Struthio camelus: one gene and its partners. The protein of the gene in region 2 purifies or fractionates together with the protein of the main gene of each other region. This does not show direct contact. Links are inferred from orthologs where the notes say so. Each region holds a gene or a part of one and is shown on either strand. Other genes may lie near its edges.

Region 1 (6,906 bases), on a different chromosome or scaffold from region 2:
GGGAAATGGGCAGGGGATAATACATTACCCTCTTAAACCTTCCTTTCACTGCACCCTGCAATACACCAGTGTCGTGGAAAAGAAAATCAAGTCAATAAATGTTGCAATTTATATATATTTGAATAGATAACAAGAACAATTTTACTGTTTGCCATAAATGAAAAAAAAAATCCTCACCAAATCATTCCTCTGATTGAGGTTCTGCAGCTCTGTTTATGGCTGCAAAGTGATTTGATACAAAAAAACTACACATTTTGAGTTATTATATCACCCAGAAATTTGATGCCACTTAACTATGTAATTTTCAGAAATGATATAAAACCATTGCACAAAAATATTCAGGGAAACCCAAAAGACCTTTTTTTATCTTTTTTTTTATGGGTCTAAAATGAGAACTCACAGAGATCCTTGCACTGTATGTGAAGGCTGAACTGCCACCTCGGGAGCTTTATTAATATGTATGTAAATATGATCTGGTTAGATTCTGTGTTTCTGTATCTTTTCACAAGGTGGAGCGGCTAACTAAGCCGATCAGATCAATGCCCTCTGTTTATCCTTATTTTTCCGAAACAACAACATTTAAAGATTCAAAGAGAATGAGAATCGCAGCCTCATTTATATCAAGATTGTCTCAAACCTTGCTTGCTTGCTTGCTTGCTTCCTTCCTTCCTTCTCTCTCTTTTCCTCCCTACAAGTCCTAGATCTGTATCAGAAACAATTTACTTCTAAGTTAGTATGAGCTTTCTCAAGTGAAGACTGGGAAGAAACTAAAATCACATCACACAGAATATGCAGCTTCAATTTCTCTTCGACTGAAAAGTTATTTGAGCAAATGGGGAGAAAGTGGAAATGCACTCAAAATAAGTCCAAGTGACACCTCAGGCTTGTCCTCTGTGAGGATATCGGGACTTCCTCTTCACACTGGAGCCATGCTTATTTACGTATCTATATCTGTGCCAAATCTCAGCAAAAGACATCGCATGATTTCAAAAAAGAAAAGAAAGAAACCCAGAAGCTAAACATGGGTGTGCTGAGAGTTCTCGACTCTGCATGCCTTGTTGTATACAGGATAAAATGGAAGATTTAACATCATATTAGCTTGTTTTCCCCTATGATAAGGATGGTGTTTCTAGATGAGAACTCTTCAAATCCCGGGCATATTATGAAGACAGGAAAGATGACTACCTTAGTACAAGACATTTTGTGCGTGCAAGCGCATTTTTGCCTAATTTAAAACGAGGCACTAAAGCACCTTTACAGCGGGTGAAAAGCTTGCCCTCTTCTTGCGGGTTTCGCCTCTTTTGCAGCGGGGAGCAGCCGCCGCGGTGTGAAGGGCGCTGCGTGGGGCTTGGCGGCGCGCTCAGCCCACGGCGGCGGCGGGGACGCGGCGGCACCAGGCCCGCGCCGGGCTGCGGTGAGGGGCGCGGGGCAGGAGGGGGCTCGGCACCGCCGGCGCCGCCGAGGCGAGGGGCCCCCCGACAAAGCGGAGCGATGCCGGGGGGCAGCACCCGCCGCCCGGCCGCAGCCCCCGGCCCCTCTTGTTTGGCTGATGGGGCAAACAACGGCGGGGGAGGGGGACAACGAAACGGTGGGGCCAGCTGCAGATGGAGGCGGGTCGAGGGATAGGTCAAGGTTAGAAAGAGCCTGCTATTGATCTGGCTTTGAACGCGAGACAGGGAGAGCAGAGAGACTAAAGGGGGAGCTGTGAGACAAGACATTAACAGCTTTCAGTGCTAATGATCACAAGTGCCAGACAGGGGAGGAAAGAGGAGACTGAGAAATCACTTTGGAATTTTTTTTTTCCCCTTCCCTATTGGGATGTATTTTCGGAGGAGGAGGAAGAGGAGGCAGGCTGGGAGCTCACCCCCAGCAGCCCTGCCCGCAGCCTGCCGACGCGGGCGGGAGGGAGAGGGCTCCGCGCCGCTCCGCGCTGCCCGCCGGGTCAATCATTGATCGCCCTTATCTCCGGCTCCCAGTGCCCGCTGGAAGACACTGGTTAATCAACAGATGATGCCCAGTAACTTCCCGATAAGCCTCGCTCCGAAGGGGCGCAGCTTCCTGCAACTCCCTGAGAAACGGCCGGAGCCGCTGCGAGCCGGACTTTGCACCCCCAAGGACAGAAAATGACCCCCCCGCCCCTCCCCCCCCGCACCCCAGCTCACCCCAGGGGCAGCCGCTGCCCCCCGCCCCCCGCCAGCTGCGGGCCCCCCCGCGGCGGCGGCCTGGGCCGAGGCGCCCCGAGGGGACGGGCCGGGTCCCAGCCCGCTGTCGGCGGCCAGGGGCCGGGATGGCCCTGCCCGGGGCTGAACGGGGCCGGCGACAGCCCCAGGTGCCTTCCCGGCGGCGGAAAGCCGCTGCTGTCACCACGCTAGTTTTTCTTTGTAGGACCCTGTAAAACAAAACAAACAAACGCGGCGAAGAATCTAAACAAGCTTAAGCGCCGTTAAATGTCTTTTACATGTTTGCTTGTGTGTTAATGGAGGCTGATGGCTGAGCCGGGGCAGGGGAGGGCATCGCAAAGCTGGCCCTGCGCCCGCCGGCGAGCCCCACCGCCAGGCCTCGGGAGATGGGGGTCTGGCCCGCCCGGGGAGTGCGGGTCGGAGCCGGCTCCAGGGATCTGGGGGCTGCCAGAGCCGAAATGCGAGATGTGAGCAGTGTATGTGTGTGTGCGTGTGTATAGGCAAAGGCAGATTTGCTGGAGGAGGCGAGAGTGTTGCTGTTTAGCCAAATTCTACTCAAAGCTGATTAAGGGCACCGAGATGAATTCTGGTCCCCTAAGGCTCACATGCGATTTAATACAAAAAATATTCATTTAACGTAGAAAGTAAATGACACGAATGCAGAGCGACTCTCCGAGCGTGCTCCGGGTGGAGGCTGGGTTTCCTGGGTTTCTCTCCCATCCGCCTTCAAACCCCCAACACTCCCCCTCCCCATTTCCCTCGACCTGTCCAGAGCTGGTGCTGAAAAGCACTTTGCACGAAACTATTTGCTTGCCTGGAGAGAGAGGGAAAAAAATCAAAGGAGATGGGGCTAGGACAGCGGAGGTAGAGGAGGAAAAAGTTGGTTTCCAAGAAGCTCCCAAGTTAGAAGCGCACGCACTTGTGGGCATTTACCTGCGTGTGAAATTGGAGGAAAAGTGCGTTGAGATGCGGTCCCTGGGAACTCAGTGTCTCTCGATTCGTGTCTGAGACTAATTCCTCCACGAAAAATCCTCACAGCCAGGCATTTTAAGGTGGGGGGGGCGGCAGAAGAAGGTCGAAGAGGAGTGTGTGTGCGTGTGCGGCTCGGGAGCGTGTGTGCGTGCGTGTCCCAGAACGATCACACTTACATTAGGGAGAGAGGAGGAAAAAAAAAAATCTCTCCCCAGCCCACACAGATATTTGTGTTGTTGTAAAACTGTTTGAAAGAAACGCACGGGGAAGGTGCTCGCAACCGAGGAGCTGCGGCGGAGTCGAAAGGAAAGAGCGGCCCGAGACCTCTCGGGATCTCATGCCGGACACGGACCGCGGAGGAGCAAGAGCCAGAGCCGAGCTAGGACGGCGGAGAGCGGGAGGCGGCATGAGCAGCGGGGAGAGAGCAGCAGCGGCGAGCAGCCCTCCGCAGCCTCCCGCCGGCGCCCTCCTGGGCTGCCGGCCGCGGCGCCCGGCCGGGGCAGCAGCGCGGCTCGGAGCGCGGCCGCGCAGCGCCGCCGGCCCGGGAGCCGCTGCCGCCGCGGCCGGCGCCGGGGCTGAGGCTGGGCTCGGGGGAAGTTTTGCTGTGCGGGAGGATACGGATTTGTCCCCCCTCCTCTTTTCTTTTAGCATTCAGCGTACCCGAGAAACAGCACTGCACAAAGCCCGGAGCTGCTCCCGATCCATGCATATGCCTTAGTTTGTGTGTGTGTGTGTGTGTCTGTGTCTGTGTGTGTGTGTGTGTGTGTGCGCGCGCGCGCGTGTGCATGTGTGTGTGCGTGTGTGTGTGAGTGCGAGTGGTGTTTCTTGTTCTCTTGCAGGGTACAATGTTAAAAAGCCACCGCTAGTCGCCCCCAGTGCTCCTACTCTCTGGGTCTTTTTGTCTCTAGTGCAGATTAAACGTCACGTCCGCACTTGAACTTGAATTTTATCCCATTGTACAGAGGCAGCCCCAGCCATAGAGAGACAGAGCGCTCCCAGAGAACCAGGACTCCGCCATCTTCACATTGCAATATATAATAGTAATAGCCAGCACCAGCCCAGCTGCACTGGGGGCTTCCTTCCTTCCAGTCCCAGTGCCAGGCGAGGGGGGAAGAGTGCAAAGTGGTGCAGGAGCACTGGCAATCCAAAAGCACCAGGGCAAAGCAGTGCCACTTGAACTGGGAAAGAGGAGACACAGTTTTGGCTACCCCTTTTCAAAAAAAAAAAAAAATATATATATATATCTCTACCCAGAAAGGGTCAATCTCTGAAAAACAATTTTTTGGCAATTTTTGTGTGTGTGGGCAATCCCAGTTCTAGTACTTTTTTTGATATTCCTGCTTCTTTTTGATATTTTTTATTTTTATTTTTACCCTCCTGGTGGAAAAGCGCACTTGCCAATTTGCCAAGCACTCTGGAAAGAGGGAAACAGAAAAGTGTCACTGGCGGTGCATATCCTCCTAAGTTCAAGAAGAGATTTGGAAGTCCAAGTGGCAGCAGCAGTGGAGAAAAGACAGAGTGTTTGAAAGAGAAAAAGCAGAGCGACAAAGCTTTTTCCTGATGATGATGATGATGATGATGATTTTTAATTGAGAGGGGATCCCAGCTAGTGCACCACAGCAGCAACAAAAAGGAGGTTTTTTTTCCCTTTTCTTTTATTTTTGAAAGAAGAAGAAGTCGATAAAGAAGAAAAAGAAGAAAGAAAAAAAAAGAGGACGATCGGCACCCCCAACACATCTCCCCAAACCAGTGCAGCTCTCCAGGCGATGCCAGTGTAAATGCCAGGGCAATGTCCCGTCGCAAGCAGGGAAACCCGCAGCACTTGTCACAAAGAGAGATTATCACACGTAAGTTTGAACTTGGAACCAAACCGAGCCGAAATCAAGGAGCAAAATTAGAGAAGGGGAGGAAGCGGGGGGGGGGGAGTCCAGGAGAAACCAAAGCTGGTAAATGACTTCAGAGAGAGGGAGAGGAGCAGGGAATTAAAGAGGGGAGGGGGGTGTGCGGCTCGGGGGGATGGGCTGGGGGTGGATGGGGGGGAGAAGCCCGAAGTTTGCCGTGAATTTGCAGCGGCGCGGAGGTGAGGCGGGCAGGCGGGCGGCGGGCCGCGGCCGGCGGAGCGAGAGCGGGGCTGCCCCGGGGGAGCGGGGCGTGCGCGGGGCGGCGGAGCGGGGCGCGCCGGGCCGGGCCGGGCCGGGCCGGGCCAGGCCGGGCCGTGCCGTGCCGTGCCGAACCGGCCGCGCTGCCCCGCTGCTCGCCCTCGGCCCCGCTCCCCGCTCCGGGGGCAGCGCGCAGCGGTGGGAAAAGTTGGCCGAGCGCGTTGCCGCGGCGTGACAGGCGCCGGGGCGGGGTGGGGGGGGCGGGTGGAGGTGGGCAGCACAGCGGCCGGGCGAAGTCGGTGGGAAGCACATGGAGGCTGTGGGTCGGCCGGGGCAGAGCGGGCCGGGGTGGCCGCGGCGGGGCCGAGCCCCCGGCGCGGGGCGCGGGGCAGGCAGGCTGCAGCCCTGCCCGACCCAGGTGCATCGCCGGGGGGTGACTCTCCTCCAAGGCGGCGTGGGGGGAAGATGAGGTCGGACGGGGCCAGGGGCTGCGGAGGGGCTGGGGGGGGGTGTCTGTCGGCGGAGGGAGGGCGCGGGGAGAGCCGAGGCGGCGGACGGGGCTGCAGGGCACGAAACGCGGGCCGGGCAGCGGCGCCAGCTCCGGTGCTGGGGCAGGAGCGGAGGCTGCACTTTGCCGACGCTCCCATTGTCAAATGAAAACAACACCCCCCCCCAAAAAAAAAAAAGAAAAAGAAAAGCGGAGGGAGGGAAGGAGGACCCCCCCCTTCAGCTCCAGCATCCCACCCTCCTCCCCGCTCCCCACCCCCAAAACCTCGGGAGAGGGGCGAGCGCCTGCCGCGGAGCCGGAGGCAGGTCCCCGCGCCGGGCACCCCGCTCCGCCGCTCCCGGCTGCGCCCGCGGGGAGCCGCCTCCGGGCGCGGGGCCCCAGCGCGCCCCGCCGCCACCGGGGCACGGGGCGGGGGGCGCGTTACCCTCCAAAAAATCCTTCGCCTCGGACCGGGGCGTGGGGGGGGGCGCAGCCCGCCACGGAGAGGTCGGGGGTGGGCGGGGGCCGGGATGGCCCCGCTCCTCGCCGGGAAGCCGGCCGGGCCCCCCCGGCGGAGTCCGCAAGTTGCTGTGCTGCGGGGGGGGGGGGGGGGGGCGGCGGCGGCGGCGGCATGCACGGAGCCGGCCCGGGGCTGAGCCTCAGCCGCGGCGGATCCGAATATTTATGTTCAGATTTTAAAGAATTTAAATAAATAAATAAAATATTCCCCCGGCTTCTCTCCCCTCCCCTGAAAGCCAAGAATAGGAGCCATCTGCTAGGAGCATTTGGTGCTTGCGAGCTCCTCTCTTTCTTTGTTACCGGTGATAAATTTCTGTTTGTAAGATTTCCTTGGGAATCTATATATATATATATATATATATATATATATATATTTGCACCGCCTGTGAGTTTTTTTTTTCTTTTCGTAGGGGAGGGTGTGTGGGGGGGGGGACGTTTTGGCTCCCGCAATTTCAATTTCTTTCTCTCTGTCTTTCCTTTTTTTTTTTTTTTTGGTGTGCTCCTTTATTTTTTAACCCGTTCCTCCTCCTCCCCCCCCCCCGCCCATCAGCTGGTGGAACACAAATGAAGATGCATCTGGTATTCAGCTCTTTCGGAGAGGGGGGTGTTTTTAATTCATTGCTATTTTGGGGCCAGATTTGCATCACCA
Region 2 (7,918 bases):
ACAGCCCAGGGCCCATCAAGCGCCCTCCCGCTGCCCATCGCCCCACGCCATGGGGTGCCGAGCACCCTAGAGCACGTCAAGCACCCATCACTGCATGCCACAGGGTGCTGCGCACCCTAGAGCCCCTCAGGCGCCACCCCGACACCCATCGCCCTGGAGCACAGGGTGCTGAGCACCCTGGAGCCCATTGGATGCTCTCCTGACACCCACTGCCCCACACAACAGGACATTGAGAACCCTGGCTCCCCTCAGGCACCCGCCCGGCACCCACCGCCCCACACCAGGGGGTATCGAGCACTCTAGAGCCCCTCAGGGCCCTCCCAGCACCCCCCCATCCCACATCACCGCGCGCCGAGCACCCTAGACCCCTTCAGACACTCTCCCAGCACCTCTCACCCCACACCATGGGGTATCGAGCACCCTACAGCCCCTCAGGCGCCCATCGCCCCACAACACGGGCTATCGAGCACCCTACAGCCCCTCAGGCGCCCATCGCCCCACAACACGGGCTATCGAGCACCCTACAGCCCCTCAGGCACCCATCGCCCCACAACACGGGCTATCGAGCACCCTACAGCCCCTCAGGCGCACATCACCCCACAACACGGGCTATCGAGCACCCTACAGCCCCTCAGGCACCCATCGCCCCACAACACGGGCTATCGAGCACCCTACAGCCCCTCAGGCGCCCATCGCCCCACAACACGGGCTATCGAGCACCCTACAGCCCCTCAGGCACCCATCGCCCCACACCAGGGGGTATCGAGCACCCTCCAGCCCCTCAGGCACCCATCGCCCCACAACACGGGCTATCGAGCACCCTACAGCCCCTCAGGCACCCATCGCCCCACACCAGGGGGTATCGAGCACCCTACAGCCCCTCAGGCACCCATCGCCCCACAACACGGGCTATCGAGCACCCTACAGCCCCTCAGGCACCCATCGCCCCACAACACGGGCTATCGAGCACCCTACAGCCCCTCAGGCGCCCCCCCACCCCACTCACTCCACGGGGGCACCGAGCGCCCTCCCTCCCCTCAGGCGCCCCCCACCCCACGGCGGCGGGGTGGGGGGGGGTCCATGGGGCAGGCGGCCCCCTGGTGGGGGAGGGGCACCGTTTCGCACAGCCGCCCCTCCCCCACCCCAGGGACTAACGGCGGCGGCGGGGGGGGGGAAGGGAGGCGGCGCCCGGACGGCGCCCCCCCCCTTCCACAGCCGTTAACGGAGAGTTGGGGGGGGGGGAAGGCCCTCAGCGAAACCGCCCCCCCCCCCGTGACGACGCGGAGCCGCTGAGGAGGAGGAGGAAGAAGAACGCGGTAGGTGGGGGGAGGAAGGCCGCGACGGTGTCCCCCCCCCCCCATACAACGGTTGGGCGGGGAGGGCCGGCGCTCGCTCCCCTCCACGCGGGCGGGCGCGTTAAACCGGGGAGAGGCTTAGAAACGCCCCCTCCCCCTCCACAAACGGAACGGAGCCGTTGAGGAGGAAGAGGAAGAGCTCGGTGGGGGGGGAGGGAGGAAGGCCAGGCCGATGCCCCCCCCCCCACCTCCCCTTTACACACATCCACTCACCCGGCCGCGGGGGGGAAGAGCTCGGCGCGGGCGGGCGCGTTAAACCGGGCAAAGCAGCGCGGCGCCTCTGTGTGTGTGTGTGGAAGGGGGGGGGCCTAGAAACCGCTTCCCCCCCCCCCACACACAACCAAACAGTCCGGAGCCGTTGGGCAGCGCGCGCGCGCGCCCGTTCGGCGGCCGGGAGGGCGGCGGTTGGGGGGGGGGGCCTAGAAACCGCCCCCCCCCCCCCCGCCGCCCCGCAACGGTCCGGAGCCGTTGGGCAGCGCGCGCGCGTTCGGCGGCAGCGCGGGGAGGGAGGGGGGGGTGGAACGTTCGGCCCCTCAACGTTCGAAAGCCGTTGGCGGTTGTTTACAAACACGGCGCCCCCCCCCCCTTCAAAGCCGTTAGCGGGGAGGGGGGGGGGCGCGCGCGCGGCGGCGGCGGGAAGCGGGGCCGGGGTTGGGGGTGGTGGGGGGGGGGAGGTTGTTTACCTGGAGGCGCCTCAGTCGCCTCAGCGGCCGCGGCGGGAGCTGATGCTGCGGGCGCGGGCGCCAGCGGCACCGCCGCCTGCACGGCTGACAGGAATATGTCGCCGGGGCTGTTGTCCCCGGCTCCGTCTTCCTCCTCCTCCTCTTCCTCCTCGTCTTCTTCGTCCCCCTCCACCTCAGACACCACCATCTCCTCCTCCTCTTCCTCGTCCTCCCTCAGAGGGGAAGCCATGGTGGTGCTGGGGGTGGGGGGGGGGGCAGGGAGGGAGAGAGAGAGAGAGGGAGTGAGTGAGAGAGGAGAGAGAGGGAGAGAGAGAGAGAGAAAAGAGAAGGGGGGGCGGCCCCCCTCCGCCACACACCAAAAAAAATCCTCCCCCCCCCCCCGCGCAGCACCTCAGCCTGAGGAGAAAACGGCAGGAAAAAGTCCCGCGAATGCAGCCATGAACCCCCCCAAAACAGCGAGAAAACTCCCCGAACTTTTCTTCCCCCGCCGACTTCCCCCCCCTTCCTTTCCTCCCCTGCCAAAAAAAAAAAAAAAAGAGAGAAAGTTGGGGGGGGGGGAAGAAAGAGAGAGAAGAGAGGTTAAAAATACATTGAAATTCTGAGGGGGCAGCTCGGAATAATATTTTCCACAAGAGCAAGGAACAAAAATGGCCGCCCTTAAATTATTTTTAAAACCGACCCCCCCCCCCCTTCCCTCAACCCCGGGAGGTTACCGAAAAAAAAAAAACCCCAAATCCCCCCCACCCTTTATTAAAAAAAAAAAAGAAAGAAAAAAAACCAAAATGGCTGGCTTATTTTTTTTTTTTTAAGTCACCCCCTACTCCCACACACACACCTCTTCCTTGAGGTTAAAAAAAAAAAAAGATTAAAAAAAAAGCCTCAACAAAAATCAGGCAAGAAAAAAAAAAGCAGCCTAGATTCCCCCCCCCCTTTTTTTTTTTGTTGTTGCTGCTGCTGCTCGGAATATATATAGCTGGCGATATAAAATAATTCTGATTTTTGGCTTGCTGGCCCCTCTCTCTCTCTCTTTTTTTTTTTTTTTAATCTCTCAGAAGATCTCAGATCAGTGCATAAGATGAACAATATTTGTATATTCCTGGCGCTGGGGGGAACTGAAAGAGAAAGATTTCTGCATAAAACAAAGATGGCTGCTCTAAATTATTTCTTTTTTTTTTTTCCTCCCTCCCCTTATACTTCCCCCCCCACCTCCCTCAATAAAAATATTTTTTGCGGGGGGGGGGGAGAGAGAAAAGGCTGGATTAATCAGTACTCATGCTCAGTATGACATCAGCATAAATTGTTAAAGGTTAACTAGTTCCATACTAGTAACACCACGAGATTTTTTTTTCCGCCCGCTTTCCTTGCTTTACTAGTACAGGCGGAAAAAAAAAAAAAAGGGAGAAAAAAAAAAACAAGGGGGGGGCTTTTTTTTCCCCCTCCCTTCCCTACTTTTAAATACTTCAGAAGGGAGTGGTGTGTGTGTGTGTGTGTGTGTTTTTTTATTTTCCCTCCCTACTCTTTCTTTCTTTAGGCTGTAGGGCAAGGAAGAACAAAAAAAAAAAAAAAAAAAAAAGGGAAAGAAAAGAAACAGCCTTGAAAAATCATTTAAGCGCATGGTCCAAATTCGTTTAAGTGCATCGTTAGGAATGATTTAACTGTGTGTTTTCCTCCACCGGCGTTCAAAGCCAACGCGCCTCCCCGGGTAAAACCGACACCGAGAAATAATTAAAAGGGAGAGAAACCCCCCCCGCCCCCCCCACCGCCGCGATTGCCCCGCTTTGCTGGCGAGAAACACTCACCCCTTTCTCTTTTTCTCCCCGTAGCTTCCCCCGTAAAAATTGGGGTGAAAAACGCGATGTTTTCACCGCTCCGCCGTGCTGCTTTCGGAGGTGAGCAGGGAAAAGGGGATTTTTCACCCCGGGGCCCCCGATGTCTCCCGCTTTGTCTGCGCACGGAGCAATGACCCCCAAACGCCCCCAAATCCCCCCCGAAGCAAGGGGGCCCGGGGAGGAGCCCTTCGGGGCGCCCCGATGGGCTTTTCGGGGGCGGCGGGATGACACCACCAGGGCATTTTTGCAGCATTTTTGCCCCCGGAGCATCTTTTCGGCCCCAGAAGGCAGCCTCGCTCTCCCCAGATCGTCCTGGTTTTCGAACCGCCGCGTGCCGGGCCCTCGGGATTCGTTCCCGCTGCTTCCTAAGAAACGCTTTCATCTGTTGAACGTTACACTTAAAAAAAGGTGCGATGGGGGAAACGCAAACTCACCTCGAGGCCCAAAGCCGACGAGCCGGCGGCCGCTGGACGGCAGCCCAGGACCCTGCTTTTATTTTTCCCTTCTTCTCCATCTCTCTTTTTTCCCCCAAATAATTCATCAAACACGTTCCCCGCTCAGGTCAGAGGAGCTTTTCACCTCACCTGTGGGGTTTTTTTCCCCCCCTCCCTCCACCGACAAATTGCAAATAACGATTATTAATTTCTTCCCAACCCTGATTTCGAGGCCTTTTGCAATCAGGCCTGCTCTGGACTCCGGCGATGCCCGCAGACCTGTTCCCGTGGCCCTCGGACACCGACCCCCTCCGCTTTTGGGAGAAAAAGCCTTTTCCGGACGGGATCCCAAACCCCTCGTGGTTTGCACGAAGCCAGAGCGCGGTAGGCGGGGCTGGTGTCCCCCCCAAAAAAAGGAAAAACTCCATAAATCCCCCCAAACTGCACCACAGCCAGGCCAAACTCCCGCTGCTCACCAAGAATTTAACACCAGGCACGGCTTCGATATTCATTTTTGGGCTTGTTCAGCTGCTTTTTTGCCCTACAAACCTGGCAAAAAATAGGTATTTTTGGGTGGGGAGGAAAGAAATCGTTGCGCAGAGCGAATCTCGCTCCCCGACCGCCCGTGCTCGGCGCCCACGGGGCCGCGCCGCTCGCCAGCCGCCTGCTTCCCGCGGCGCCTTTTATATTTAACCCAAGCTCCCCCCCGGGAGCACCGGCACCACGAATTCGTGTCGAAACGGCTCCCTCCTGGCGCGGGCGGCCAGCGGTTTGGGAGGAATTTGGAGACAAGAAGAATATGTTGATGCCCCCCCCCCAACCTTTTTTTGTTTTTTTTTTTCCTACCCAGTTCATGTTTATTTCTCACTTCCACAAGGTGGGTTTTTTTTCTTTTTCTTTGTTTTTTGCCAGTTCGGTCCTTTCGCGGCTGCCCCCTTTGACACCACTGTCCAGGCACCTTCTCTCTCCGCTCCCCTCCTGGCAGCTAACGGGCCGCGGAGCAACCTGCCGCCGCTAATTTTGTCGCGGGCAGGTTCCCCGGTAGCGTTTTTAACGATTTGCGAGGCTTTGACGGCCGGAGCGCACGTTCCCCGCCGGGAGAAACTTGCCTTAAACTTGACCCTGGCTGCTTGCGGCTTGGTCTCTGTTCCCTTGGGCACGGCCAGGGCAGGCTTTTCTTTTTTTCTCCCCCCCTTTTTTCTGTCTCTAACCCGTCTTTGATGTTTCTTCGCAGCTCAGCGACGGCCAGGGGCGCGACCGGAGCAACACGCGGCATGACGCTAATAGGGAAGTCGCAGCGCTTATCACCGCGTTTCACCCGGCGAGAGGGGTCACAGAGGCTTTTACGCGCCGACCGGCTTGGGGAAACGGTCGCCGTTGTGGGAAAACCTCCTGCGGAAGCTGCCGCTGCCTCTTCCATGCCTACTTCCTCCATCGCTTCGGTTTGGCTTCGTTTTCCTCCGCTAATAACGCTTTTGGGTGGCGGCGCAGCCCCTAAAAACAGGCCAGTGACTGGAGGGGACCAGCAGAGCGAAGCCCAGAACGGGGAACGTGGCAGCTCCGAGGGGACCGGGCCTTCCCGCCTCGCTTTCCAGCCCGGCTGCCCCGCGGCCGAGACGCTCCAGCTCCGGCGCTTCTTTCCCAGCTGCCTCATCGATTTAGCTAATAAACCCTCGTTTCCCACGGCATCGCGGCCAGACGGAGCCGAACGCGGCCAGACGGAGCCGACATCGCGGCCGAGGCCTCCGGGCAGCGTCGCGGGCGACGAGCAACTCCCCCGGCCTCGGGGCACGGGAACGTGGCGTTTACCGAGATGAGTAATTCCACGCGGAGGGGATTCCTGCTCTCGCGGGGGCCGCGGATCAGCCTTTTCCAGGGGATTTTCATTTCTAGAGAGGGGAGCGTTGGCGGCGCGACCGAGCCTGGCGCGTCTCCGTGGCAGAGCCGGCTGGAGCGGCGCGCGCAGCCCCGAGCCCTGGCAGCGCGTAATCCGCACCCCGTTCCTCTCGCTGGACAGCCGGAGCCGGAATCCGGCGCCAATTGGCAGCGCCGGGCTGATTCGCACCCGCCGAGGACTTAGCCCTGAAGGTAGCAGATAAAAGCGACAACCTCCAAAGAGAGCCCAAACCTCCTCTTCGGGGGGGGGGGGAGCGGAGCAAACGAGGCTTTGATTAGAGCCACGCGCCAGCTGCCTGCGCAGGGTCCAAGGGGGGGGGGGGGGGGAAGAAAAACGGACACACACACGGAAGGAGACGCAGCGAGACAGACGGACAGCGGAACAAGGACATGCAGAGACGCACGGAGGCCTCGGGATGCCGAGAGCGGTCGCGGCGGCAAGACTCGGCGGCGCGGGCGAGCGGCGTCCGGCTTCGCTCCACCTCTGGGTTACTGTAACGCGGCCTCGGGTCAGCGGCGAGGAGAAATCCCTGCCCACGTGACGCGGGGCCGCGCCAGCGGCTGGCAGCTCCCGCCGGGAGATGAAAGGCCGCGGAGGGGCCAGCGGGACGTGGCCGGCGCCCGGCTCGGGGGCGACGCGCCAGGCGGCCGCTCACCTGCGCTGGCCCCGGGGCGCTCGGCTGGCTCCTTGCTGCTGCTCCGGCCGGACACAACTGCAGGGAAACGCGGAGAACAAGAGGTTTTAGGTCAAGGCTGGATGTTTTCCAGGAGGGATTTTTCTTTGAACTGAAATTCAGTCCCCCCCGCCCCCCAGCAATTTTTTGGCACGTGTTTGAGCTCCAGCAGAGCGGTGGCACCCGCCTCACCTTGGCTGGGGGCACCGAAAACAAATCAAACCACCTGGATATTTGTCACGGAGGGAATCCTGAGGAAAGCTCCGGTTTCCCCTTTCTTCTGCAGCTGCCTCCCCCCTGCGCCCAACGCTACCAGTCCAGCCAAATCGAAGGGACGCCGCAAAAAAAATTCCCTCCGGTGGTGCCAGACCTGCCCTCCCGCCAGGTTGTTCTTCCCCCCTCTCTCCTCCCAAAAACAAGGATGAGAAAATAAAGTCTCTGTGCCCAACTCTTATCATAATCCTGGCGATAACGAGCACGCGCTGTGATTATTCCCTTCCCCCCGCCCCCCGCTGCTGGCAGATCTGCACTGCTGAGCCCTGGTCTTTCCCACGCCGGGGCCCATGCGGAGCTGGCGAGTGCGCCGCGCTGGCTCCCCTCCTCGCCTCCAGCTGCTAAATCATGCTGGAAGCTGCTAAAAATACCCGCCGCGAGGAGCTTTTCCACGTCAGCTGCTGCCGCGGGAGCCAGGGGATGCTCTTTGCTCCCGAGGGCCAGCGCAGTGGCAGGCGGGGGCCGCGCGCTCCCCGGACGCGCCTGGGGGCCGGGCGGCTTTTTTCAGCACGCGCCTCCCAACTCCGCACGGGAGTGGGGGATCCGGCCCCACCACCGGCTCTCCAGCGGCGTTTCCCGAACCCCGCCACGACGGCGATCCGCCGACTGTCACGCCAGCCGGCGTCACCCGCGCGGCGGCCGTCTCCGAGCGCCTCTCTCCGCTGGGAAGCCGCGGCCGAACGCCGGGGACGGCCTCGACCCGGGGCCCGAGGGAAACCGGCTCTGCTCGACCGATGATGAGTCAGGGCTGCTGCCGCGCCGGCGCGGGACCCC
Region 3 (7,609 bases), on a different chromosome or scaffold from region 2:
CTCTTCGCCTGTAAAAACACACCACTTTTGCTTCCACATTTCCATTTGCAGTCTAGAAAAGAAAGACAAATTAAGTCAGAATCCATCTTCGTCCAGCTGGGTAGTAAGAATTACGTGTTCTCTACTCTTTTTTTCCTCCTCATGTTCGTATTCAATGTGATTGGTCATGCTGAAACCAACAGAATTCTAAATAGCTAAATAGGAGCTTCTTGGTAAATGCCAACATCAATTTCAGCTCACATAATGGCATTGATTAAAATTACTTATTCATAAGAAAGTATTTATATATTATTCTGTTACTTACAAATGTAAGCATCAATACGATGCTAACGTAAAACTACTTAAGACACATGAGGTGCTTGTGAACGTTTATTTGTAACCCAGTTTTAGACAGAAATGCACATTTCAAACTGCCATGCCAATTTTCGAAATATTTAAAACAGCATTTATTTGAAAATTCATATCAGCTCATAAAATGGAAGTTACTGCACAGCTCTGTTTGCACGACTTACTACAGATTTACTTTTTAAAAATAATAAAATGACAAAAAATCTACTAATATTTTAAAAATTGCACACTTCCTTGTTATAAATATTAGAAAGTTAGCTATATACCTCAAGTTATTTATTATATTTCCAATTCAAGATGTACCATCATAAAGCATCATGTTTTAAATAAGTTTCTTAATAAAAAAGAAAGCATCTTATGTTTGAAGCATTTCATTATGTATTTGCATAACATCTCCTTATTTGCTCAATGCCTTTAACACATGAATAGCACATAACTGACAATGAAGGTATCTGGACTATACCCTGGAAACCTCTCTTAAAAAAAAATCAATATATGGCTCTGCTCAAACCATCCACAAGCAAGATTAAACTACAGCAATGCAGTTTGAAGATAACAAACATTACAGTTAGAACATAATTGGAATCACTTTAATTACTGTAAATAAAACATATTCTCCTCCAATAAAAGTCAAACTGATTTGCCACATACAAACAGTAGATGAATGGATGCTGCATTGGATAGCGCTAACAATGTGGATCATGGCTAGAGTAGTCTTGTATTCCATTGACAAGAAGAAAACTTTTCACAGTCATCAAGTTTGAATTTATTTTCTAACCACAAAAACATCATTATCCTTCACAATATAATAGGTATTTTGACTGTTTACTTTTGATATAATTTATTAGTAAATTGTAATATCACTACATGGAATAGTAAAAAAAAAAAATGCTGCTTTATTTTTTTCAAAAACATTCTTAGCAGCACAAGAACTAGGAAATAATCATGTTTTCCTCAAAGTGACACTCTAAAAAGTACCAACTCAGTCAACAAAAATACATTCAGAATAAAGACAGAGAATGTAGACTATTTCTATTCAAGACCCTGCCCTTCATTCACAGTGCAATTCATTCAATAAGTGCAATAAACAGCAACAGAAGCTTTGTATTCTATTGTTTGACCGCTGCAAATTCTCACTGATATCTACTAGTTTTTTTACATATATTATATATATACACACACACATATACACATACACACACATATAAAAGCAAGCATGTTACATGATCACTGTCATTCCAGATGGATTCACACTGTCATCACCCTATGTCGAATTAAACTCATTACTCTCCTGAGCATTCATAGGATTGTTTATTTGGCCCAGGGATTTTTTACTGCTGACAATCCAGAATGATTAACTAGGTGTTTCCTTAGATAACAAGGTAGGACTACAGTGTATCACATAGCAACAATGTAATAACTGAACATACAGAAGGCACATAACAAATCTTAAGAACGTACAAAACTTTCAAAAATTCTACTGATGGAAACTTTATGAGATGGAAACAGTTCTCAACTTTCGAAAAGTGCACAGACTGTTATCAAAGGTTAAGCAGTGATCTTAAATACGTGTGTACCTTGTTAAGTTCTTCAATTCGCCTGATGAGATATGGATTGCTGGAAGAATTTTCAAAATATACATAATCTACAATTAAAAAAAAAAAAAAGAGAAGGATACTGAATTATTTCAAAATAACGTACCTAGAAGAACATCATTTTTGTTAGGGCAAGGTTTTTCGTAAACCTAGAAGCTGATAAAAAGCTGAGGCATCTCACTCGATGGCAGATAGTGCTCTGAAGCATTCCTACACCGAGATTTTCTCAAAACTTATTTTTACAGGGTCAAAAGTACCTCTCAAATGCTGCTAGTAAAACTTTCGATTTGATGTTTGACTTGCACCACACATCTTGCAAAGCATTGTTTCTTTATTTTCAAAGAATCTGGGCAGGGACATAACAGCATTTAAAACCCTTTGCAGTGCTGTGACACCACGCTACAGCGGAACAACTTGGGGTAGCTCATTCAGCTCTGAAGAAAGCCAACGGGACTGTTCACCGTTGCCTACTAAGCTCACAACGAAAAGGCTGAGAACTGCTGATGCAAGCAGTAAACCCTGCCCAGGCTTCAACAGCGCTGCTCAAGGGAGGATTACTTCCACGAGTAAAGGCGGCGGGGATCACACTCCCCACGTCCCAACGAGGGAGCGTCCAGACGGGCGATTTGCAGATGTATCGGCATACCCTGAAAGAGCGGCAGGAAGGGACTCAAACTGCTGCCGCCCCTTTTCCTTTGCATCTCCCCTCTCACCTCCGAGCACCGTTTGGCAGCAAAGAGGAGGAGACGAGACGCGTTTAACGCCGAGCAGCGCGAAGCGCACCCCGGCGCACCACCTGAGCGCCGCGGCCGGCGCCGCAGCCATGTTCGCTCCGCGGCGGCGGCGGGGGGGAAGTGATGACCGGCGGAGGCCGCGTCCTGTGGTTTTTTTCCCCCATCCGAGCGCCCCCCTTTCTCTCCGCGGCGCAGCCCGGGACCAACGCACTCTCCGGGGCCCAAGGCGGGGGGAAGCGGGCGGGAGCAGCCCGCCCGGCGGCGCAGCGGCCGTTCACTCCAGCAGAGGCCGGCAGGCCCCGCCGAGGGCAGCGCCGCACCGGCCCGCCAGGCCGCGGCGGCGGCCGAGCCGGGAGCCGCCTCAGACCCCCTCCCCTCCCCTCCCCCCGGCCGGGGCCCGGGCCGCCCTGCGCCCCCACCGCCGCGGCCCGGGGGAGGCCGTGCCCGGGCGGCTCCGCAGCGCGGGCGGGGGGAAGGCAGCTGGCGGCGGCGCCGCTCCCCCCCTTCCCCGCGGAGGGCGGCGCTGCCCGGCTCCTCCGCGGCGGTGGGGGCCGGCCTCCCACCCGGCGCGCAGGGCTGCCGGGGGAGGAACCTGCGCCCTCCCCCTCCAGCCCGCCGCGGGCCCGGCTGCCCCGCTCGGGGCCCTGGCCATGGCGGGGGAAGGGAAGCGAAGGGGAAGGGGGCGGCTCTGCTCAGCGCGCCGCGCCGCGCACGGCCCCGGCCCGCTTGGGGCCCCCCGCCGCGCCCCGGTCCCGCTCCGCACCGCGGCGCCGGGCGCGGGCCCCGGCGACGGGCGGGCGGGCGCGGCCCCGGCCCCACATACCTCCTACTCGGTACATGTTGGCCGCCATGTCTGCGCTCCGCGCCCTCCTCCTCCTCCTGCCGCCTCTGCCAGGCCGGGCTGGGCAAGGCGGGAGCGGCTGCTGCGGCTGCGGCTGCCCCTCCACCCCGCGCCGCCACCCCTCCTTCCTTCCCTCCCTGCCTGCCTCCCCGCCCGCGGGCACAGGCCGCGGCGCCGCCCGCCTCACGGGGCCGCCGCCGCCGCCGCTTCGGCCATTTCCGGAGCCGCCCGGCGGCGAAGGGGTTAAACAACCGCCCCCGCCGCTGCGCCCCCTCCCCCGCGCACACCGGCCCCGGCCGGGGGAGGGCTCAAGGGCCGGCCCGGCTCGGCTCGGCGTCGCTGGGGCTCGGGGGGCGCCCCCAGCCCGACCCGACCCCCGGCCCCGCCGCAAGGTGACTTACCTTGGGGCGGTCGCAGCCTCGCCGCGGTCCCCGATGCGCGACATCTTGTAGGCGCCCGCAGCCTGGTCCCGCCGGCTGGCAGATCCGCCGCGTGAGGAGCCCCACGTTGCCTGTAGGATCCCGGCGGATAGTATCGTTATTATTAGTCCTGTTTCTTGTGTTTGCAGGCTCTGCCTCCCCCCTAGTTGAGTCTTTGTTCCTTCCGGGCAAACGCGCTCTCCCCCCTTCCCCAGCCCGGGAAACTGCTTGCAGTGGTCCCGAGAAAGTGTCTGACACGTGTGTTCACTGCTCTGGTTGGCATTGATCTGGCGACCTTTCTGCCCCACATCCCCTTCAAAAGCTAGCGCCCCACTGATCAGAGCACAAGGCTGCGGTTACCCCCATCTTCCCCAATAAACGGGAAGGCGTCTGCCCCAGGGCAAAGGCAGAGGCAGCGGCTAGTCTGAGCATCAGTCGGTGCTGAAGGAATTGCTTACAAATCACCTGATTAGAGGGATGCTCCAGGAACATCAATATTTATGTAGCACAAAGCTTGTCTTGCCATGTTTATGTGAAGTTCCCAGTGTCGCAAACAATGTATGCATGCGATTTATAAACAGCTCGGTCCTGCTTCAGAGTGCTTCCTTTGAAGAGAAATGTTCTTTATCGTTTTCTTGCAAGGAGGGTGATGATGTATCACTTGCTTCACGTTCAGGATTTTAGTGCGTGTTATCTTGAGCGTTTGCCAGCTAACATTTCACTTCGCCCTGAGCTGAAGGAAAACGTAGTGTTATTAAGGGAGAAACATGCTGATTTTTAAGAGGATGAGCTTCACTGGTGTTTCCGATGACCATACGCTCTCTTCCCTTTCCCTTTTTGAGTGAATCTGTGACTATGAGGGTAAGTTTGCTTCTACTTTAAGTAGCGTGCTTTTAATTTCATGGGTTACTACTTTGCGTCAAACAAGCTGCTGACTTTTAGCATGACTAAAACATGTGAAGTTTGTATACAAAGCCCTCAGTGACTTGTACTTCTTCACAAAACTGCAGCAAAATCTGAAATCTTCCTCTGTCTTGTCTCCTGACAAGCAAACCTGTGGGATCTGAAAAGGTCTGCAGAAACTCCTTGAGACGTAGCAGCTCTATGCGATGGCACTGGTTATTTCTAGAAGCACAATAACACTACCTTGGCAGGACCAAACAAAAATAGCCAGAAGTTAAACAGTGTGTTATTTTTACTCTTGTGGTTTATTGTTTGGTAAATAAAACAGAAATTAAACTTTGAAGGCAAGAGAACAGTTAATTCAAACAGTTGGCTCGTTGCAGTCATTGTCAATTAAACACAATGCCTCCAAGCTCTTTTTCTCAGCGTCAGTCTGCACTGCAACACTAGAGGAGTTGCCCACACTTTCGGTCTACCAGTGTACCCTCATCTAGCAAGGAGTGGATTTCAGTAGAAACAAGACTGCACGGTCCCTGCGTGGTCTGAAGACATGGCCTGTGTAAAAGGAAGATTGCTACTGAAGAGAAAGAATTTGCCTTTCAAGAACTTGAGAGAGAACAGCCCAGGAAACCCCACGATTGCAGGCTGCTTCTGCAGCTCCACGCCCTAAAAATAGCACGACAAAGCTTTACTTACAGTTGCCTAAAGAAAGGCATGCGTAGCTTGCCTAATAACTCAGGTAGTTTATGTACCTCAGTACTGAATCACTGAGCCTGGTTATTCACTGTAATGCAGCTTGTATAGGCACAGACTGATATGGGATGGTGTCATGCTGCTCTTACTGTGTCTTTGCATACTTTAAAGGGACTGTACTGCAAGCTGAGGAAAGCAGTGGGCACAGCTGGCTGTGGCTGGGGACTGAGTTGCAGGAATGTCAGTACATCTTAGTCCGGTGTAACGAATAGAAAAGACTGGCTAGAATTTTTCTTCTCTGCTATCTCAGTACAGGGAATGGTAAAAGTCGAAGTTGTGTAAACACCTTCATATTTCTAAATAAAATATAATGCAAAACTTGTTACCTCTTCTTCCAAGCAGATCACTGTTGAGTAAAATTCTGATAAGAGCTTTCTCTTAATCTGATAAATGGTCTTTATAGCTATATACAATAAAATTACTTGTGTTATCTGAAAGAAACCACATTTCTGTGGCAACTGAAGTCAATAATGCAAAAGAGCATACTCCTGCTAGAGAAACGGATTATCAAAGAATCTCATTTGGTAAAAGCTTTTTTTGTTGTGCCATCCTGAGCAGCCCATAATTCCGTCTGAAGTCTGTGCTGCCCTTCAGTTGAAAAAAATCTTCCTACCCATTTATGGAGTCACAAATTGAAACACATCAGAAAAGTGATCTAGGTCAAAAATAATCTAGATTAAGTTTAAAAATAATCCCTATACCTCTTTTTTTTTCTAGACCAATTCCCTGATCCAAGTTCACCAGCTAGCCCCACAATGAGCTAAATCAGAACTGAAGAAGATGGAGCTGAGAGGAGGGCTACCGGGGAACGTTTTGTCAAGTTACCACTATGATGTCCATTGACTTGTCCGGACCTCACCCTCTTTTTTTGACTTTTTCAGTTTATCTTCTTCAGATGCTTTTACATACTAAATACCCATTAAGCTGACTGGTGCAATACTGTATTCTTACTCATTTAAAAATGCAGTGGCGATATACAGATTTTTCATTAAGGCTGATACAAAATGTTTCACTTTTCTTCATAGGCAGCTCTTAAAGGCTTCCTGCTTACATGAGGGATTGGTTGGACTAGGGGAATAGTAAGGGGTCAAATTTTAGCCCTAAATTTTCATTTTTAATTCCATCTAGCTTTTCAGAGACTAAAAACTTGTCAGCCATTGGCAGAACAACGTTCACAGGAGTTCAGAGATTTTTGGACAAGTTCTGAAGAAGTCTTGTACCAGATACAAAACCTCCTCACTACCAATGCTCTTTTTCTACTATTGTAGAGACCAAAATGAAGGCTTCAAAAAGCTGTTAACAACCTTACCCTAGAAAAGTTAAGCATTTTAAAGTGGCAAAATAAGAGAACTTTCCTTGCAGCTGTCATGCAGCATCCGGTTTTGTGGCCAAAGAACTTAAATCCAGAGAGGTCCAGTCCAGTATCTTCTATAGGAAACAAAAGCCTGAATCTTAAAAACAAAAAATCCCACCAACCTTATAAAAGAAATCAGTGCCAGACAAACCTCTTACTAAGTTACTGCCTTGAGGATCAAACTGACAATTCAGAGATATACAGTAAAATACATCCAGAGATGTGTGTTTTAAGAATGACCAACTTCAAGGTAAAATACCGCAGATTTTAAAAATAATGATTTTTGGCACTGTAACTTGCTTTCTGTCAAACCAGTTGAACTACATGCCTACAACATCCTACAACATATCAGCTATGCTTAGAAGTGCTTATCACAAGTAGCTGGAATAATTTTGGATCTTTTAGGTATAAACATCTTATTAAAATCACCAAAAGCATTGAAGGAAAATTACTTGTACCATATAAAACTGGCTCAGTTCCTTACAGTGCTTTTATGGAGACTCATCTCCATGCTGATGCAACAGAAAGGAAAAGGTGTTTAGACTTTCCCATCCTTGGGCCACATTCACACGGCCTAATTCAATCCAAGTACTTAAACCTAGAGTTTATTTCTAGCATGAGCAGTCTGAAAGCATAGGGTCTGAACATTAAACAGAGGGTTT
Region 4 (7,572 bases), on a different chromosome or scaffold from region 2:
CGCTCCGCTCTCGGCCACCGAACAGGTTGAGGAGCTCGCCCACGCGGGGCCGGGATGAAAGCGCGGCTGCGAGCCTCCTCGGAGAACCGCCGGCTCCCGGCGCATCACCCGCCCCGGGCGCCCGCGCTGGGGCTGGGCCGCCCTCCTTGGCACCGCCGGGCGGGACGCGGCAGCGGGAGGACGACGGGAGCCCAGCCCCGGCGGCGAGCGGGGAGAGGCCTGCCCGGAAAACCGAAGGGATGGGCGCCTCGGGAGCGAGGGTTCGGGGAGGCCTGGGAGGAGGCTCAGTAGCTTTATCCGCCTCTTCTCAACACGCAGAACGAGGCCGCTACCTGTCCGGGCTGGTTTTCGTTGGCATCTGGCTGGTTTTGATCCCGGTGCTCGTTTGGCAAAGCGCAAAGAGGAAAAACTCTCCGGAGGGAGTTTCCAGACCTGGGCTTTGGTGGCCGAGGGCTTGGAAACTTCCCGCTTGCCGCCTGCGGTCCTCCAGCGAGACCTCCCGCCGGGGCAGGCGAGAGCGGCTGCCGCTGCCGCAGGGCTGAAGCGAGGGCGGCGTTCAGCTCTCTGCCTTGACCGGTCCCAGTCTCCTCACTCACCTTTAAAGATGCTGGGTTTTTTCTTCCCCTTCCCGTACAGGCCACCGCCGAGGCAGCACGTCCCGCGCCAAGGCGGACGGAGCCGGGAAGGAGCCAGCGGGCAGCACCGGCGCGGCGACGCCGAGCAGCCGCCGGCCCGGCGGGGCCCTTCCCTGGCAGGAGCACAACAGGCTCTGGAGGAGGAGGAGGAGGAGGAGGAAGAAAACAAGGCTGGAGGGGGGGGGTGAAAGGCGCTCCCCATAATAACACAGCATCTGGCCTGGGAGGAACCCAGCGAAATTGGGGAGTGGGACCGGGCTAGGCAAAATTTATCTGGAAGAGGTTAAGGGGAAAGCCTGCCTGGAGCAGCCAGGAGTTGTTACACCCGAAAGAAGTTATACGCTGAACTGCAGCAACGCTCCTCGAGCGGGCCGGCTGCGAGGAGAGGTTTCCCCCAGCCCCGGCGCAGGGCGGCTGCTGCGGGGTTGCTGCCGGGGGTGCTCCCCGGGGCTCCTTCCCGCTGCAGGGAGCGATCCAGGCCTTCCCGGCGTATTTGGAGGGCTGGGGAGAAAAGGCGCCAGGGAGCCATGAGGACGCAGCGTGTCTGCTGGCGGTTGGGGGTTTCTGGCGCGTTCTGGGGCAGTAAGCAGCAAGCGTCACCCGGAAAGCGGATGGAGCAGCAGCGGGACACCGGGGCTGCCAGCTTTCCCTCTGGAAGGAGAACGGCAGCGCCGCGGGAAGCCCCAGCGACCGGATGAGCTCCGCAGCCTCGCCGGGCTGCGGGGAGCAGGCGCGGAGCTACCGTCTGTGTCTTGACAGAGGCCAAACCTGCCCCCTGCTCAAGCCTTTAGGAGCTGCTTTTTCAGCCCGCGAGGGTCAGAGCCTCCTGGCTTCGTTTTGGACGATCGTTTCAGTTTTGGCACGAGAGGGCGGCTCAGGGACTTGCGGATTGAGTTGATACCCAGAAACTTGCAGGTACCTCTACTGTGTTTATGATTCTGCCTCCCGGGAAACTTGGGAATAAATATTTTAATACAAACTGATTTAAACGTAAACTCCTTCCCGCGAAAGGGACGTACTGCCGGTCTCCCTCCTCTCGCTGCTGCACGTGTCTCTGCGACAGGCGGAGGACGGCCAGGACAGCCACAAGTCACTTCATTTATTAAACTTGTCAACAGTTAATTACATTGAAATTAACACACAAACGTAACGTTTTGCACAGGTCAAAGCCATGCCAGGGGAAGCCGGTGTCTTGCTGTCCCGTCTTTCATGCTTTTCATCGTTAATTTAATCCCAGACGAGAAGGAAGACGACGAGTTTGCACTCCCCGAGTGCAGGTCTCCAAGCGTTTTGGGGCATCAGAGGTGAGAAAGTGAAACCAGCAGCGGGAACGTGGGGAATGCAAAGAAAAACAAGGGGGGAAAGGGGGGAGGCTGCAGGTCCGACACGCCGGAGAGGCAGCAGCACCTGCAAAATACAGGAGGTTTTGTGGCCGTGCCCGGAGGCACCTGTGGATGCCGGAGAGAGACAGGCTCCTCTCGCTGCCTTTCCTCCCTCGCTGAAAACCGTAACGCGCACGCATTTATTTCCAAGTTGCTTCTCACTGGAGAGGAGGCTTGGAAACGGGACAGCTGTGGTAAAATGGCTCTGCCGCAGGACGCCGGGGTCGCTCGTGACCGCGGGCTGCTATGACCATCAGTAGATGGGGTTGTGCCGTCAGGCGGCAGCGCGGAGCAGCAGCGCTGCCGGACCGCGGTTTCGCCCCGCCGCAGGGCTTGGGCGCTCGGGGCAGCACGCGCCGGGCAGCCCCTCCGAGGCAGCTCCGGGCCACGGTCGCCTTGCTAAACCGTCAGCCCCGGGCCCAAGCGCCCCGGGGGTTTTACCGCTGTGGCCACAGCCGGGTCGAAACAACCGAAGCGGATGCACGGAGCGCCCGACGGAGAGGGACAGCTCGCAGGTACCTCCTGCCCGAGGCAACTTCTGCAAAGACAGTGAGACGCAGCTAGTCAAGCCCGCTGGAGCTTGCTTCAGACGCCAAAAAGCCAGGTTTTACCCGGGTCTGGTGTCATGCATTGCCGCTGACGTAAAAATCTGGGTATTGCGGAGTTCCCGCTTTCAGCACAAATAATTTGGCCCTGCAAACTTCCCTGCCGCGTGCTAAGTCAGTTTGCTCCGGAGCGGGAAGCGTCTGCAGCAGCTCGTGCAGAAGAAGGGATGGCCTTACAGGATCGGTCCCTTAAGCCGCCCACCTCGAGATACCACTGAAGGAATACTGCGTGTTTTTAAGCCGTCATTATAAAACCGAAGCGAAACACAGGGGATCTTGTTCTCCGCAGCGCTGCTCTGAGTGCAGTTTTGTAGGGTTGGTGCAAAGCCGTGAAAAACACGGCCAGCTCTGAACCCTCCCATTTCGCACTGTCTCGGTGTTACTGTAAACAACGGCGGAGCAATGGAAAATCCCAGCGCGGCGTGCCCCCGCGCCTGCAGGACTGCGCCGGCCGGCCGGCGGCCGCACAAAGGCAGCCAGTTACACGTCCCACCCAAAAGTTAGCGGGGGGCACGGTTCGGTATTTGCAGAGCGCCAGGGTTTAGCAGTGCGATCTTTCAGGACGCTCACGAGAATTACGCCGGTAAAGCTTCGTGCACTGGTGTGAAAATACCGTTATGGAGCAGGTGACTCCACGCCGGAGGCGCCGGGGCGTCCGCGCCGGCAGGCTGCAGCGCCGCTCGGTTGCGCCAAGGGCGGTGTACGCCGTCCGGGCTTCACCACGAGCGCTGGGAACGGAGATAACGTGCAAAACCGTAACGCGGTCGCGTGTTTTACCCGGTACGGGGCATGGTTTCTAGACACTTCTTTGATGCGGTGTGCAGGTGTTAGGGTCGGAGGCTCGAAAGCCGGCTCGCTCTTCCCGCTGCGTCTCGGCTCGGCGGAGGGAATCACCCAGCCGCTCCGCGACTCGCCTCCCCCCCGGCCGGTCTCTGCCGCAGAAACGCCGCCCGCGTCCCTTCACAAAGCAGCCCAACGCGGCGGATGCTGCAGGCCTGAATTAGCGCGGCCGCTTCCAGGGAGCAGGATGGAGCCGCCTGCGCTCGGGGTCGCAGGCGCCAGCTAACGGCGATACCGCACGGCACGGGCGTATAACAGCAACGCCTGTGACTGAAGTACCCCAAACTGCCCCGATTCCAGCGGGATTTCCTGGCGAAGCGCGGGCGGGCTGGGGGGGCTCGGGCCGCGCTGCCGGCCCGGAGCGGCTACGCCGGCGTAAATCCGGAGAAACGCGGCAATTGCAGAGGCGCATTTGGATTCGCGTAGGGGATGAGCGCACCCGAGCGTCCCACCCCGAAAGGATAAACTTCGGAGAGGCGGATAAAACCGAGAAATAATTTGTTTATTTGGGGGGGGGTGAAGAGAGGGGGTACATCCCACTGCTGTTCGCAAGCAGAAAACGGGTCAGTCATGGACTAGATTTGCATTTATTTGTTAAATCCCTCCATGGCTGCAATCTGCTATTAAACCTTCAGCCTTCCAGCGAGCCGAAAGAGTAGTTTTACTAATAATAATTAAAAAAAAAAAATTGTTTTTTTTCCTTCGCGGCACCAGAAAATTTCCACTGAAGATCTGAGGGAGCGGGGGGGGAGGGTACAATCAACAGGTATTTCCCATCCAAATTGGCGGCGAGGGGAATAAATCGGAGGTGAATAGGTAATTACGGGTTTTTTTTGGGGGGGGGGGGGAGGAAGGGGCGCCTCGGCGGCGCGGAGCCTCTTCGCCGCGGACAGGGGCGCCCGCCGCCGCCGGGCGATCCCATTTCCACGAGAAGTTGAGCCAAAACTTTGCGAAGTGAATTAACCTCTCCCCCCGCCTCAACCGACACCCATCTCCCCCCACCCCCCCTCGCCCCGCCACCACCTCACCGCCCGCCCCGCGCCGCCGCCTCCGTTCCCGCCTCGGCGCCCGCGCGGCCCCTCGCGCCGCGCCGTCCCTGAGGGGAGCTCGCGCCATTGTCTGTGAGGGGATGGTCGCGGCACCCCCCGCCGCCGCGGCACCCCCCGCCGCCGCCGCTCCCGCCGCCGCCTCCGCGCCCCCGCCGCCGCGCCGAGGGGCGCGGGGCGCCGCGCCGCCGCCGGCTGCCTCGTCTCCCCTAAAGTTTTTGGATCCGCGTCTCCTCATGATGTATGGATGATATATTGCATTGTGGGTGTCAATATAACTGACGGCCATATTTGCCGGTGCTGCTACTGCTGTAAACAACCCAAAGTGTCTGGGAGACGCCGAGACGCTTCGCTGGATTTCAGGACGTTTTTCTCCTCCTGCCGCTGGCCATGTCGCTGGGAATGTCTTACAAACCCAACTTGAACGCCCACCTCCCCGGGACTCCCCTCACCCCGGGTAAGTCCGCGGCGGCAACTGGGCGGCAAGTTTGGGAGGCGTGCGGCGGGGCTCCGCCGTGCCGCGCCGCGCCGCGCCGGCAGCCGGGGCCGGCCCCGCGCTCGAGTTTTTTGTCCAGCCCGCTATGGCGGGGCAGCGGCTCCGCGCCGGCTCCGCGCCGCCATTACCAGCGCCCGCCCGCCCGCCCGGCGGCGCCGCCGCCGCCGCCGCCAGCCCGCCTCGCCTCGCCTCGCCTGGCCGCGCCGCCCCTCCGCGGGGGCGCCGCGCCCGCCGGGCCGGCTCCGCACCGCCGCCGCTACCGCCGCCGCTCCGGGGCTCCGGCCGCCGGCTTTCCTCCATGCTCGGCTCCCCGGGGCGGCTGATTGATCTGGATCAGGAATATTCCGCCGGCGCCTCAGCGAGGACCGCTGCTGGCGGGACGCCGCAAGTGCCGCTCGCGCCGCTCCGCGCCGCGCCTCCCGCGCCCCGCCGGCCCCGCTCTCCTCAGGGGCAGCGGCGGCCGCCGGCCCAGGGGCGCCCCGGCCCCGGCCCCCCTCGCCGTGCCCCCGCGCCGTCTCTCCGACCCGCCCCGCTCGCCTGGAGCCTTTTCTTTCTTTTTTTGGGGGAGAGGGGGAGGCAGGAATCGCTCTTTATTTCTTCCCAAACCCCTCTTATTATTTTTTTTCTTCCTCATTGGATCTGTAGAGAAGTCCCAACTTTCCTCTCTAAAAAAGTTTTCCTTGATGGGATTAACTTTTTTTGTTTTGTTTTGCTTTTACCCCCCCCCCCCCTTGATTTATTTCATTTCCAGCGGTAACAGGCAGTGAGGGGTTGTGCTCAGGGTGAGGTGTTGGCTGTGAGAGTGGGTCTGGGTGTCGGGGTGCATATACATCGCGCGTATACATTGGTGAAGTCCAAACAAAGCCACAGCGGCGATTGCTCCGCTCTGGGGTATTTGGAGGGGAACTCACTAATCAGTGCACCCCGGCTAGTATTGAAACAGAACCAAAATGGAGAAGTTGGTTCTGACTTAAAAAGAAAGACAAGAAAAAAGAAACCATATTCCCGTCTCCCTTTCCCACAGCTCCAGCCTGCAGGGCTGGCACCGGCCGCTCTGCAGGCAGAAATACGACTGATGTTTTGAGAAGGGAAAGTTTTGCTGTTTGGTTCAGGAGGGAGAGGGAAATTTGCCTCGGGGATTTTACAGCACTGTTTGCGGTTGTGTTCCTGGGATATGGATAGACGAAGGGGATTAAGGAGATGCACCTCTATTCTCACTACCGGGAGAGCGGCGATTGCATTTTACTGTAAGGAATTGGCACCAGCCGGTGATGGAGCTGAGGTCCCTGCACCTCCAACTCCTACGTGCAGGGCAGCTTCGATCCTGCGGGGAGCTGAGCCTGGTGGGGCTGCGCGTGGGGAAACTTGGCGTGTGCAGGGAGCTCCCTGAGCCTAAGTGCCGCTTCCCAGGGGGGCCAGGAAGCAGGAGATGTGCTAGGATTTGTGACAAAAAAGCAGAAGTGTCACCCCCCCCCCCAAAAAAAAAAAAAGCCCCAATGCATGAAGCACCGCAGGGGAAATGTTTCTCCCATGAGAACCTGTGCCTTGCTTTCTGGAACAGCTGTAAAATTGCAGGGGAAACAAAGGTAGTATTTTGTAGTGGTGCGTGGCGGGGTGGGGATTAGGTGGTACTGGGGGGGGTCCAAGTGTGGCCACGCCGAGCGGGAAGACTGCAGGATCCCGGTCGAATGCCGCTCACAAAGCAGCCGAGGGGTGAACTTCTGCCTCCGGTCCTCCTGCTGCCGTGTCTCTGTGCTTTCTAATGCTCCGGCTGCGATCGGGGTTTTAGATTCTTTCATGCAGTTTTCATCTTTCCTTTATTATTATTATTATTATTTTTTTAACATTTTGTTTTTCTTCCCCTTAATGGCAAGACAGCAGCAGTTTGCTGTCATGCTGGGACTGTCTAACTTGTGCTCTCTCCTGAGTTTAGATCACCCTCAACACCCCTAGGATCTTTTCAATGAAAAACCGTCCTCCTCAGAATCCAAAATGGGCTCTCTCTTCCCTCCCTGTCTTCTGCCATTATCCTCACGCACCAGCTCTTCCTCTAGCTAGTGGTATTGCCAGCACCGTGGCCTAAGGCCAAGGGAGTTAGACAAAGCAGTCCTTGCAGTTGCACATATCGCATTCAGAGTGATATGACTGCAAATGGCCCCCTCCTCGCTGGAGCTTAATTCTGAGTTGAAGGAGGTTGCTTCTCTATTGTGTCTAAATTAAATGCCACTGGCCAAGAGGAAAAATCCGAGGTTTGCTTCCAAACCTGGGGTGAAGGAACCCCACCCCCACCCCCCCGTCCTGCAGAGGAGAGGAAAACAGGAAATCTGTCCTTTTTGGCCTGAGATCAGCCCTGCAGAAGCCTCTCTGTGTGAATGCTGAATATTTTGGTCTCAGCTGACAGAAGGGCTCTGGCCAGCTGTGGATCTCACAGGGATTTTCCTCTGGGAGATAATGCTGCTTCTCTGCACTGCAGGGCTTCTGGTGCAGGAGAATTTGGAAAGGCAGTGTGGCAGCTCCGCTCCTGAAGCAAGCTGTGTCCTTGCTGCAGAGCTAACTCCTTTCAAGTTT

Evidence for each region.
Region 1: the proteins of CHD3 (region 2) and BCL11B purify together in Homo sapiens (affinity purification with mass spectrometry; 3 studies listed by BioGRID and IntAct, with this or other methods). This does not show direct contact. The link is inferred for Struthio camelus from reciprocal best matches to the Homo sapiens genes CHD3 and BCL11B.
Region 3: the proteins of CHD3 (region 2) and MTA3 purify together in Homo sapiens (affinity purification with mass spectrometry; 4 studies listed by BioGRID and IntAct, with this or other methods). This does not show direct contact. The link is inferred for Struthio camelus from reciprocal best matches to the Homo sapiens genes CHD3 and MTA3.
Region 4: the proteins of CHD3 (region 2) and CDK2AP1 purify together in Homo sapiens (affinity purification with mass spectrometry; 6 studies listed by BioGRID and IntAct, with this or other methods). This does not show direct contact. The link is inferred for Struthio camelus from reciprocal best matches to the Homo sapiens genes CHD3 and CDK2AP1.

What each region holds. Positions count from the first base shown.
Region 1 is NC_090946.1:69,453,023-69,459,928, reverse strand, and holds the start of BCL11B (B-cell lymphoma/leukemia 11B), read left to right. Parts: upstream 1-3,891; 5' UTR 3,892-4,941; coding exon 4,942-4,999; intron 5,000-6,906. UniProt on the Homo sapiens protein: Key regulator of both differentiation and survival of T-lymphocytes during thymocyte development in mammals.
Region 2 is NW_027182697.1:108,031-115,948, forward strand, and holds the start of CHD3 (chromodomain-helicase-DNA-binding protein 3), read right to left. Parts: upstream 3,011-7,918; 5' UTR 2,874-3,010; intron 2,727-2,873; exon of another isoform or gene 2,628-2,726; intron 2,551-2,627; exon of another isoform or gene 2,429-2,550; intron 2,275-2,428; 5' UTR 2,268-2,274; coding exon 2,039-2,267; intron 1,317-2,038; exon of another isoform or gene 1-1,316. Other genes in the region: CYB5D1 (cytochrome b5 domain-containing protein 1), read right to left, coding at 7,769-7,918.
Region 3 is NC_090944.1:111,823,877-111,831,485, forward strand, and holds the start of MTA3 (metastasis-associated protein MTA3), read right to left. Parts: upstream 3,012-7,609; 5' UTR 2,769-3,011; coding exon 2,657-2,768; intron 1,994-2,656; coding exon 1,926-1,993; intron 53-1,925; coding exon 1-52. UniProt on the Homo sapiens protein: Acts as a component of the histone deacetylase NuRD complex which participates in the remodeling of chromatin.
Region 4 is NC_090958.1:16,837,150-16,844,721, forward strand, and holds the start of CDK2AP1 (cyclin-dependent kinase 2-associated protein 1), read left to right. Parts: upstream 1-4,571; 5' UTR 4,572-4,898; coding exon 4,899-4,965; intron 4,966-7,572. UniProt on the Homo sapiens protein: Inhibitor of cyclin-dependent kinase CDK2. Also acts as a component of the histone deacetylase NuRD complex which participates in the remodeling of chromatin.